Ovis aries: one gene and its partners. The protein of the gene in region 1 purifies or fractionates together with the protein of each later gene. This does not show direct contact. Links are inferred from orthologs where the notes say so. Each region holds a gene or a part of one and is shown in the gene's direction. Other genes may lie near its edges.

What was found.
Region 2: the proteins of ARPC1A (region 1) and ACTR3 purify together in Homo sapiens (affinity purification with mass spectrometry; 7 studies listed by BioGRID and IntAct, counting the BioPlex papers as one, with this or other methods). This does not show direct contact. The link is inferred for Ovis aries from reciprocal best matches to the Homo sapiens genes ARPC1A and ACTR3.
Region 3: the proteins of ARPC1A (region 1) and ARPC4 fractionate together in Homo sapiens (co-fractionation; 7 studies listed by BioGRID and IntAct, with this or other methods). This does not show direct contact. The link is inferred for Ovis aries from reciprocal best matches to the Homo sapiens genes ARPC1A and ARPC4.

Annotation. Positions count from the first base shown.
Region 1 is NC_056077.1:37,465,778-37,469,423, reverse strand, and holds part of ARPC1A (actin-related protein 2/3 complex subunit 1A), read left to right. Parts: intron 1-973; coding exon 974-1,186; intron 1,187-3,484; coding exon 3,485-3,560; intron 3,561-3,646. UniProt on the Homo sapiens protein: Probably functions as a component of the Arp2/3 complex which is involved in regulation of actin polymerization and together with an activating nucleation-promoting factor (NPF) mediates the formation of branched actin networks.
Region 2 is NC_056055.1:178,988,817-178,992,562, forward strand, and holds the start of ACTR3 (actin-related protein 3), read left to right. Parts: upstream 1-1,356; 5' UTR 1,357-1,570; coding exon 1,571-1,614; exon of another isoform or gene 1,615-2,326; intron 2,327-3,746. UniProt on the Homo sapiens protein: ATP-binding component of the Arp2/3 complex, a multiprotein complex that mediates actin polymerization upon stimulation by nucleation-promoting factor (NPF).
Region 3 is NC_056072.1:16,893,228-16,896,973, reverse strand, and holds the start of ARPC4 (actin-related protein 2/3 complex subunit 4), read left to right. Parts: upstream 1-1,535; 5' UTR 1,536-1,569; coding exon 1,570-1,572; intron 1,573-3,746. UniProt on the Homo sapiens protein: Actin-binding component of the Arp2/3 complex, a multiprotein complex that mediates actin polymerization upon stimulation by nucleation-promoting factor (NPF).

The DNA of each region.
Region 1 (3,646 bases):
TGGGAGATGGGGGTGCAGCTTTCTTTAGTAAGCTGTGTGGAGACATTCCAGAAAACCTGTCTAGTGATTTATGTCCAAGAATATCCAAGTTCTTTTGGTTTGTTTTGTTAAGGATGTGTGTAAGAATTCGGCTGTGGGATGAGAGGGCGGTAGCATCAGGTGCTTTGGGGAAAATGCTGACCCTCCTACTTGAGAAGCAGTGTAGCAGTTAGGGTTCAGAAGTTTTCCAAGAGAAGATGTACAAGGAAATGGCACTGGAGAGCGAAGGGACTAGAAGGACCGACTGTCTCCAGCCCTTCTGCTTCCCACGTCTGGGTCAGAACAGCCTCCCACACAGAATTAATTCTTGGAATTAGAGGAGACCGATGACCCAAGGCTGTAAAAGACCCTCCTTCATGCCAGACAAGCCCTGCCACCAAGGCTGGATGATGAGACTAGGGAGAGCCTGCTCCCTCAGCCTCCCTGGCCGCCCTTGGCTTTCTCTTGGGATGTCCCTTTCTTTCTTCAAATGAGTTAGTACCGGTGGTCTCCTGCAGGGCTGCAGATCGTTTCCTGTCTCCTGCCGTTTGTCCGTGTGGGCTTCCTGGACCGCTGTTGTTGAGAATGATGACGGTAGCCTCGTTTAGCAGAGTCCACCGTGGGCCAGGGAGGGGCAGGCAGGACAGCACGGTCCTCCCCCAGACGCCCTCCAGGAGGGAAGGGGAAGGGCTTCTGTGTCCTGCGGATGCTGTACCTGAAGAGCGGTGCCTCACGGGCCGTAGGCCACACTTGAACTGGTGTGGAGGCAGCCAGCCGAACCTTCTCCTTCTCGAGAGCTGCGTGGGAACTCGCCCGTTGTCAGGGTTTGGGTTTTGCTGAGTCGGCACCTTTGCGTCTTGGGGTGCCTGCCAGCAGCTGCCTGCGGCCTGTTTCTAGTAGTACATACAGATGTTTTAATCCCCTTTTTCCTTCTCTCCCTGCCCTTAAACCACAGAGTGTTTTCTGCTTACATTAAAGAAGTGGATGAGAAGCCAGCCAGCACGCCCTGGGGCAGCAAGATGCCTTTCGGTCAGCTGATGTCCGAGTTTGGGGGCAGCGGCACCGGCGGCTGGGTGCATGGGGTCAGCTTCTCGGCCAGCGGCAGCCGACTGGCCTGGGTCAGCCATGACAGCACCGTGTCCGTTGCCGACGCCTCAAAAAGCGTTCAGTGAGTGTTAGCCTTTGTCTGGACTTACAGAGGAGTGGCGTGGGTCTCTCCACAGCTGGCCTGAGGCCACTCGGCCCCGGTGGAAGTGCAGGACATGAGCATAAAAGCCCTAGCAGGGCTGCACAGCAGCCTTTAAAGTCACCTTCATACGTTTAGATGGTCCATCTGGGGAGATTTTGAAGATTCAGGTCTCCCTTCCAGAAACACTTCTTAATGGAAATGCCCGTCATGAATCCTCCGAAGGAGCCTCCTGGTTTGCTCCTGGTCCCAGAGTTCCTTCGGGTGGCAGTTAATCCATCCCTGAGAATGCCTCAGCATGTGAGTGTCATCCCACAGCCTTAGATGAAGTGGGGGACGTGTTCTTACTCTCTCTGGTTGGTGAGCATAGCTCCATTCACCCGGGGCCTTGGTGACAGCCGACCCCTGGGAGCCAGCCCACCCAGGGTGTGCGCTGGAATGGCCAGGGTCGCAGTGACTCGGGTGAGGAGGCCCCAGCTCAGCCCTGAGGAGGGTGGAGGGTGTCCTTCAGAGCTCGCACCTGCTGCTCGTGCCTGGAGGGCAGAGGGGGGACCGCAGTCCTTGCTGCTTATGAATCTCCGTTTGTTCCTGGCGCATCTCCTTCCATTGGCAGCTAGAGGGAGCCCACCCATCAGGGTCTCCTGACCTGGCACCCTGTTCCGGGAAGCCGTCACATCTGACTCCCCCTGCCCCATGGCAGCAACAAAGTGACATTTCAAAGAGAATGTCTTTTTCACTACTTGGATTGAACTGGTTGGTTTTTGTTTGGTTTTTAAATTTTCTTTAAACATCCCCCCTGCATCCTAAATTACATCATCTTCAAGACGATTTTTCTGCACATGTATAGACACACATCTTTTCATTTTCAGCGCCAGTGGGATTGTGCTCTGCACCCTGTACAGCAGTTTGCTCCTCGTCCTTCAGTCACGTCCTGATGTCGTGGCTGCTTGCTTTCTGTAGTTTATTGTGACACATAATGAGCTCTGAGCAAATGCTCACAAGCCCCTGTCTACGTCCTACTGACTTATTTGCCTTTTCCGGTGCTGCAAGTCAGATCACATCCTCCACCCTTCTCCATCTCAGACACAAGTGTTTCCTGTAGTAAGAGCGAGGTGCGCTGCAGGAAAGCCTCGGATGAGGCGTTAGGGCTTTAATCCAATGCCAGTCATGCTGGCGGAGGAGGCGGTTGCAGGGGTGACTTTCACATGGAGCCATGTGACCCTTCCCTGTGGCTCAATGGTGAAGAATCCGCCTGCCAGTGCAGGAGATGCAGGTTTGATCCCTGGGTCGGGAAGAGCCCCTGGAGAAGGAAGTGGAAACCCATTCCCATTCCATGGGAAAATCCCATGACCAGAGAGCCTGGCGGCCTGGACCCTACAGTCCATAGGGTCACAAAGACTGACATGACTGAGCCCAACCGCAACGCATTTCTGGGGCATCTGATCCTCCATCAGTCAGCATGTTTGCTGCTGTATCTGTATCATTTCTTGGCAGATGGCCACGAAGCATACATGTGCCCACACACATGGCCCATTCATTGGCCAGCACTGTTTTGTTCGTCAGTGGCCATAGCTACAGCCCCGGTGTCTGACGGGCACAGACTAGACTTCCATGAATGTCTGTGGTCCCGGCCCACTCGGAGCCCCTGTGAGCACAGACGAGGATGGCGTCAGAGAAGGGCCTTCGGTCGTGAGTGACGGTGACAGTCAGCTCTAGGAGGCCAGAGAGAGGGGAGCCCTGCAGGCTGCAGTGGTGCAGGAAGGCTGCTTGTGGGGGTGATGAGACCCAGGCCGAGTTTCAGAACTCAGGGTGGACTCAGGTGGGCAGGAGGAGGGCATGTGGGTAGCAGGGAACCAAGGCCAGGGTGACAGAACCGGGAGGGGTGGGCACAGCCAGAGGGGCAGAGGCCCCTGCTGCTACAGGTCACCTCGGGGCTCGCCCGTGCTGGAGATTGCTGGAGGTCACAGGGCTTCTCTTAAAAAAAAAGATTTATTCACTTTAATTATTTGGCCACGCAGGGGCTCAGCTGCCACATGTGGGATCTTTTGTTGTAGCGTGTGGGATCTAGTTCCCTGCAGGGGATCTCATCCGGGACCCCCTTCATTGGGAGCACGGTCTTAGCCACTGGACCCCCAGGGAAGTCCCCACAGGGCTCCTCTTACGAAGCGTCCGTCCTTCACGCTGTGACGCCCCTTGAGAACATGTGCCCTGTCACCCCCTGTGTCTGACGAGGCTGCGTGGCCCCTTCCAGCGTGTGTTAACCGGTGTTCTCGTGCTCAGGGTCTCAACTCTGAAGACAGAGTTCCTGCCCCTCCTGAGTGTGTCGTTCGTCTCAGAGAACAGCGTCGTGGCTGCTGTAAGTATTTCTCTTATTTTCCCTCACGTGCCCTGCGTTTCATTCTTGAGACCAGGAACAGACCGTGCGCTGAGGCTGTGTGCCCT
Region 2 (3,746 bases), on another chromosome or scaffold:
TAATTTCTATTGCTCTTAATACAGTTTGTATGTTTTGCCACTAAACTGTAAACCCGGCAGTGGAGAGAACTTGTTCATTTTGTGCCTACTGAATATTAATGGTCAGCATAGTCCCTGCCCTAATAGAATGGGTGAGCAATTCTTATTTGCCAAATGAATGAAAAGCTTAAATTCCATTGCCCAGGCTGGTCTAACACCACTCTATGTTATCTTCTGAAGCAATCAGACATCCTTTCTTAGGAAAAATGTTATTTCAGTCACCTATAAGTGAATCCATATGGTTTATCAGAAGATAAACCAGAAGAGAAAAAAGCTATTAATATTATAGGTTTCCTAGGTGGGGGGAGGTCCCAGACCAACACCTAGGAACTGGGTAGAAATGCAAATTACTAGGCCCCACTCCAGACCACCTAATCAGAGAACTCAAGGGATGTAGTCCAGCATTCTGTGCTTTAACAAGCCTTCCACGGAATTCTGATGCACACTTTGAGAAGTTTAAATGTCACTGTTCTAGGCTTTCTAGTTTTTTTTTTTTAATTAAAAAGTTTGGTCCTTAATCCGTCGTTTCATCCTGCAAGTAGAATAGTACAACCTAAAACTACCCCGGAGAGTACTTTTTTCTCCTCATTCAAAGCCACCAAAGGCTTACATTCCTGTGAGGTGTGCCTTCCTCGTGGGCACAGGCCTGCCCTCCGGGTGGCCTACAATCTAACCCTTGCAGTAACACTTGTAATGTGCCACGTTGTAACAATGCGTAAGTGTAACTGAAGAAAACAAAACAAAACAAAACAGTACCAAGGCAGAGGAGCCACGGTGCAAGCCTTTGTTCCTCTCTCCTCCAACGGCTCACCCTCCGTCTGATATAGCTCTTTTCCAACCAGAAAAGGAGCCGCTCAAGATATAAAATCGGATGGGTGCCGCTGACAAGGTTTTCAATTAGGCCGTTTTCGTCGGAGCACCGGAAGATAGTTGTGGCTGTGGAATGCGATTCCATTGCTTCCTCAACCTAGCGCAGAAGTACTTGCAACGAAAAACCCCTTCCAGCTTCAGAAGGAGAACTGGAGACTCGGGCAGACCTACCCAACCCTACCTGGAGAACACCCGAAGTGGACTACCTCACCTTCGGAATGGGAGCGGCAGCCGGCGGCGCTCCTCAGTGCGCATGCTCTCTCGCCCCGCCCGCTCGGAGCCGGAAGGGGGAGCGCTCGAGGCCTAGGCCTGTCCTGGCCGGGGCGTCGGCACTGGCGGCCATCTTGGCTTCCCGGGGAAAGGCGGTGTGAGGGGAAGAAGTTGTAGGGTGGGGGCAGGAGTGAGGAGGAGGGGAGAGAGAGGGGGAGGAGGCCGCGGCGGGGCAGGGCGGGGACTGCCTGCCTGCCCGGGTTGCGGAAGTGGTAGCCGCTGACCGAGCCTGCTTCTCTCTCGCTACTGCTTCGGCTTCCCGGCTCCCCCCCAGACGGAGAGGGTGGCCCGGCCGTGGATGGTCAGATAGCTTCCACCTCCCGCCGCCCATCCCTGGCCCCAAACGGCACGGAGCAGACGGCGGCAGCAGCAGCAGCAGGCGAGGAGGAAGATGGCGGGACGGCTGCCGGCCTGTGTGGTGGACTGTGGCACGGGGTAAGGGGGCTGATGGGCGGGGGTGGGGAAACTGAGGCGGAGGCAGGAAAATGGCGGGGCCGGGAGGAGGCCGGGAGATGAATGGAGCGGCAAGGTGCTGCCGCCGGCTGTGTCAGCCCGGGCCGCGCCGGGTGGCGAGGGGTGGGGCCCGCAGTCAGGGCCTCCCTCATCCCCCGCGCTGCACCCTCTGGGAGCCGGGCGGCGGCGCGGGGCCCAGAAACCCCGGGGAGCGGCTTCCTCCGCGCCACCCCTCCCGGCCCTTCCCCCACCGCGGTGGGCAGCGCCGCCCGAGGGGCTGCGGGGACGGGCGCCTCCCCGGGGCCCGCGGTCGCGTGGGGGTGGTCTTCGAGCCCCGCACAGCCGACCCTCCTTTGCCCGGTGCCCTTTCCTGCCCGTAGGTTTGGAGACCGGGGGGAATGGAGCGCGGGGACTGGCCGGGCAAAGGAGCGAGAAAAGAGAAGCGCTCCTTGTAGGTTTTGCAAGATTGCTGTGACAACATTCTACCCGGGGTGTGGGAGGGGAAAGGGAAGAATCGGACCCTGAAAATGGGAACCTAGATCGGGGCTTTCATTGGACCACCCACCTCCTCTTCCTTTTCGACTCCCGGTCTTTTCCATCTCCCACTACGTTCCTACCGGCCAACCAACTCACATTTTAATTTGAGAGAAAGATGTCATGTGTTACTTCTCTTGCCTCAAAAAAGTCCCCCAGTGAGCAAGCGCGCTGCAACTTCCTTAGTTTTGTCAAAGCCGCTTCCTGCTTTCAGTCTTTTATACCCTTATAAGGTAGTTTTTCGTTTCCAACCTGAACACATCTTATTAGAACTTTCAAAATCAAGCAGTTTTCAAATAGGCTGAGGTACTGGTGCTAGGTATGAATTTCTGTGAACTTAAAAAGTATATTTGCGTTGCACTGAGAGGAAGGAAGTGAAGCACCCAGGAAAATTAAGTTGTATAGGTTCATTCTGTGACCGTGTCTTAAGGAGAGAAGGAAGGTAATAGAGTTGTAAAGGGAGGTACTTGCTTTTCAAGGAGTTATTATGGATCTGCAGTGTAGTTTACTAAAGTATATAACGGTGTGGAAGTGGTCGTTCCTTTTGTATTAATAGGCGTTTATAGCACACTTTATACTATCGTAGAAAATATTGCCTGTGTTTTAATGCAGAGTGACTGCTTTATGTTTCACTATTGGAAGTGTTTTCTTGTGCTTGTGAATGCTGTGCTGATACATGATTACTTCTCCAATTCCCCCAATTTTGGACGGAGTTATGAGAAGTAGATTGTCAGCCTTTCCCTTCCCTTTTTACTCTTTAGCGAACTATTGTTACTTAAAGGATGGTATACTCCTCACTCAGTTTGTTCTGTGTGAAATTTCTCTATAATCCTCATGATCATACCTTTATGAAAGTGTGGCAGTTTGTAAAATCCCAGCCGTGCAGAAGGAAATAACCGATTTATTAATATAATAATAAACCAGTGTTGTTTAGCCATGAAACTTCTATGTAGATTTTTGATGGATAGGTGATTATTTTTCTTAATCCAGTTTTATTTGCTTGAATCAGTATTTTTTTTTCCCGCCTTCCTTCTTAGTCCAGTTGGGGAGTAGTTTTATGTTTAGGGTCAGTTTTAAAATTAGATTTGGCAGCTTGACTGAGAAAGAATTTTCAAGTATGTTTTGTTACAGTGAAAAATATTGCTACATAGTTAATATTCTATGCTTTAGTAATTATTGCCTTGTCGATAAAATTAGTGTAGATAATTGTTGCCCTAATGGTAATATCTTAGGTAAGGTGTTAACTTTTTCTCATTTAATTTTTTCCCTTTTGAAATCTTGATTACGTTTGAATTAGTATGCTGGGTATTTCTTTGAGGTTAACTATCCTTAAGTGTCTTTCTGATAGGGCAGCTTTGAATTTAAAACACAGACTGAGTTACCATGAGGTGTGGGGGAGGGGGTTCAGTCTGTACTTAGGATGCTGCCCAGTCTTGGTTGTTGAGCTGTGTCCGACTCCTTGCGGCCGGGTGGACTGTAGCCTGCCAGGATCCTCTGCCCATGGAATTTTCCAGACAAGAATACTGGAGTGAGTTGCCGTTTTCTACTCCAGGGGATTTTCCCCACCCAGGAATCGAACC
Region 3 (3,746 bases), on another chromosome or scaffold:
CATTGATGGGGGTAAAAGTGGCACTAGAAAAGTCCAAGGGCTCCTTCCATCCACCGACAGCTTCGGGGGAGAGTGATGGCTTAGCTACTATTCTCACAGCACCTACTGTGTGCCAAGTGAGGGGCAGACATTTTACTGGCTACTCACTGAATTCCTCACTCAACCCCAAGAGCAGGGACCATGCTCATCCTCATCTTACAGAGGAGGAAACAGACTTTGTAAGCATGCAGCAGGTCCAAGCTTACCAACATGAATCCAGGTAGTTTTGAATTTGTTCAACTAACTGCCATGATATACTATACTACTATGCTTGTCTTTCTGATGCTCTTCCCGTCACTTCCACTCTTCCTGGGTTCTGCTGAGCCCAGAGTTCCAAGCATCCGGTACTTAGGCTAATGTTCTTCGTGCCTCCCAGCCTCTTCTTGTCTCACCCCTCCCCACCTCTGCCCCTTCTCTTTGCCCCACATAGTAAAGAGATACCTGGATCTCTGGACAGCCAGATATACCTGGATTCAAGCCCAGGCTTGACCAATGTCTATGTAGCCCTGAACATGTTAATTGATTCTGAGTCGGTTTTTCCATGCGTAAAATGGGGACAAAAGAAGCCTGAATCTGTTTTCCCTTAAGTCTGAATCTGTAAAATGGGGTAATAATGGTACCTACCTCCCTGGGATGTTCTGAGGATTTAGAGTTGATGCCAGTCAAGAGCTCAGTTCAGTGCCTGGCACAGGAAAAGTGGGGCTGGTTAATGGCTGGCCCCACCCATGGATCGCCCCAATGTCCCGCCTTCAGGGTCCCAGTTCTCTAAGGACACCCTATCGCGGCCCCCGCCCCCTCTACCTTCTCCTTGCTGCCTCCAGCGGCCCCGGGGCCGCGGGAGGGGCGGAGAGTTCCGGTCGGTGAGAGCAACCGCCCCGGAACTGGCTATGTGAGGGCCCCCTGCAGTTGACAAGGGGGCGGGAAGACGCGAGTACCAACCCCAGTCTTTTGGTGGGGGAGGGTTGCGGGCAGCGAGCTAGCCCGCTTGCAGGTGGGGTGCAGAAGGTATGCCACGGGCGTACCCTAGGGAACACCCCGGCGCTGGAGGGAGGGGCTCGGCAGCCAGGCTTTCGGCCCGGCAGTTAGTCTCGCCGAGCCCCAAAGGCTGCAGGTAGGAGGGGCCTGAAGATAGGATGGGGGCGCAGAACCGGAAGGATCGAAAGGCTCCTCCGCCTTGCCTTGCCCTAATATGGTGCCAACCTGAGGTCGGGCTGCACCATTGCATGACTATGAGGGAAGGCGGCGGAAAAAAGACGAGAAAGCCAAAGTCACAAGCAAGAGCTCCATGGGGAACGGGAGAATCTTGAGTAGTGATTTTAAGCTACAGAAGCCTAAAGCTACTAAGACAGTCCTAACGGGAAAACTTACGAGGGACCAAATGTTCTTAGCCTCCCCCTCCCCCGCTCGGAACACAGATGGTACAGTCCGGACGTCCGGGCGGAGACTGCGGCTGCGCTTCTGGAGAAAGGGCAGGCGTCGCGGGGCGGGCCACTTCCGCACTTCCGCTTTCCGGCCCAGCCAGCGCCCGCGATGGTGAGAGCCGGGCCTCGGGCCAGGGACCCCCGTCTTCTGCCTCTAGGCTCTGGGTCTGGGGGAGATGCGACTTTGGAGCGGAGAGGCCCTGGGCCGAGGGATGCTGGGGGTGCGGGGGTACCCTGAGGCTGGAAGAAAGAGGGCGGGGCAGGGGCTGAGGTGAGGAAGGGGCGAGCGGGGGACGCCTTCGTAAGAAGCAGGCTTTGAGGCTTCCTATTCTGTCCTTTGAAGCTGGTGGGGGATACTGAGGCAAGAAAGAAGCCGGAAGTCGCTCCTCCTCGGTTTGTGGTAGCGCCTCGAAGGCACGTAGTACACCTTATAGCCCGTAGTAGGGCCGCTGAGGCATGTAGTAGGAATACCTCCCTACCCAGAGTAGACGTTCACTAAATAAACTCTTTTCTTTCTCGCTTGCTTGATCCCACAGTTCTCTGAGGGAAGCCTCCATACTTCCTTTTCCCACTCCTCATGTTGCCACCAGCTCTTACTTTTACCTCACTGAAGGATCTCTCTTTTGCTGCCTCCACGCAGACCCCTTCCTGGTCAGAATTCAACCGTATCAGCCTTAATATGGAATGTTAAGCTCTGATGCCGCTGACCTTTGCCTTTCAGGAAGTCGTCCCTTTTGATCATTGTGGGTGTTTCTTAACGTCAATTGAGAGTTTGGGTCACTGCCTTCCCCTTCTTTATCTTCTTCCTGTCGATACCTATTTAATGCACAGGTCTTCATGACCATATAATTTATGATGACTCCTAAATCTGCCTTCCTAGCTCTCTTTCAAGGTTTACCTGGATATCTTGAAGACACCTTGAAATTAGACGTCTGGATTAAAACTCACCTCTCCCTAAATTTGCTTGTTCTCTTGTATTCCTTATTCTTGCTCTGTGTTTTCTTACCTCAGCTAGAAACCTGGGATATTCTTTTGTTGTTAAACTGAGGGGATGCCTCTTGATTTTTTTAAACATCATACTTGTTGAAGTATTACACAAGAAGGTGCTTACTCCATTTGTGAAAGGGCAGACGTCATAGGGTTGACCACCCAAAATGTACCTTTTTCAGATTTGCTATGAACTTTGACAGATACAATCTTGCTTGTCCCTCATTGCCCCAGGCCAGGCTCTTATTACCCTACTTAAATAACCGTCTCTGCTGGCTCTGTCACTTCCCTCTCCTCCAATCCATTCTCCACAAAGTCTCCATGCAGTTGTAGTTGTGTAACTTCCTCCTCAGAAAGCCCCAGAAGTTCCTTACCACTTTTAACAGAAGAGCTAAACTCAGTAGCCTAGCATTTGAGATTCCTCATGAATCTCTGGACCCCATCTGCAACCTCATCCATTGAATCTAAAAAAATGCTTCCTGGCAACATTGTACTCATTACTACTGTAATGCCCCTATTTGTTACTCTAATCTTGTTATTTTTTCATTCATTCACTTATTGTACAGAAACTGAGTAAGATGGTGTATAGGAAAGGTCCTGACTGAGCAAGTTGCAGGGTATGTAAATTTGAGTAGAATAGATACGGTCTGTTAACCATGGAGCTTTCAGTTTAGTAAAGGAGAAAATTACTTTTCTTGGAGTTATTTGAAGGGTGTATCATTGTAAATTATAAGTGCTATGAAAAGGGAAGTCAAGAATGACCTCTGAGGAAAGAAGAGGCCTTCTCTGAATAAGCCAAGATCTAAAGGATGACTTAGGCAAAGAAGGGGGAGAAAACCCTGCAAGATAGATGGTTTGGCATGTGTGAAGGCCTGGGGTGAAAAAGAACTTTTAGCTAATACAAGGAATTGAAGAAAGTCCTTTGTTGCTAGATGCCATTTCCTCTACCAGGAATATCATTTTTGTTTTTATCATTGTAAAATCCTAATCCTATTTCCATCTTCAAATCAAAACCAGTTTCTTCTGCAAATATGATTTGTAAATCTTAACTATTTCACATTTTATGCATTGTATCATAGTTACTGTCTGTCTCCCTGACCTGGTTGAACTATTTAAGGGTAGAAATGGTCTTGGTCATTGAATTCCCAACCCCTTGTGTGCCCTGGCACACTATAGATATATACATTTGTTGACTCAAAGCGCAGATTGAAGACAGTTATTCACCTGTGTGCCTCTAGACCAGAGTTTCTCAACTTCAGCACTATTTGGGGCTGAATAATTCTGTTGTACATTGTAAGC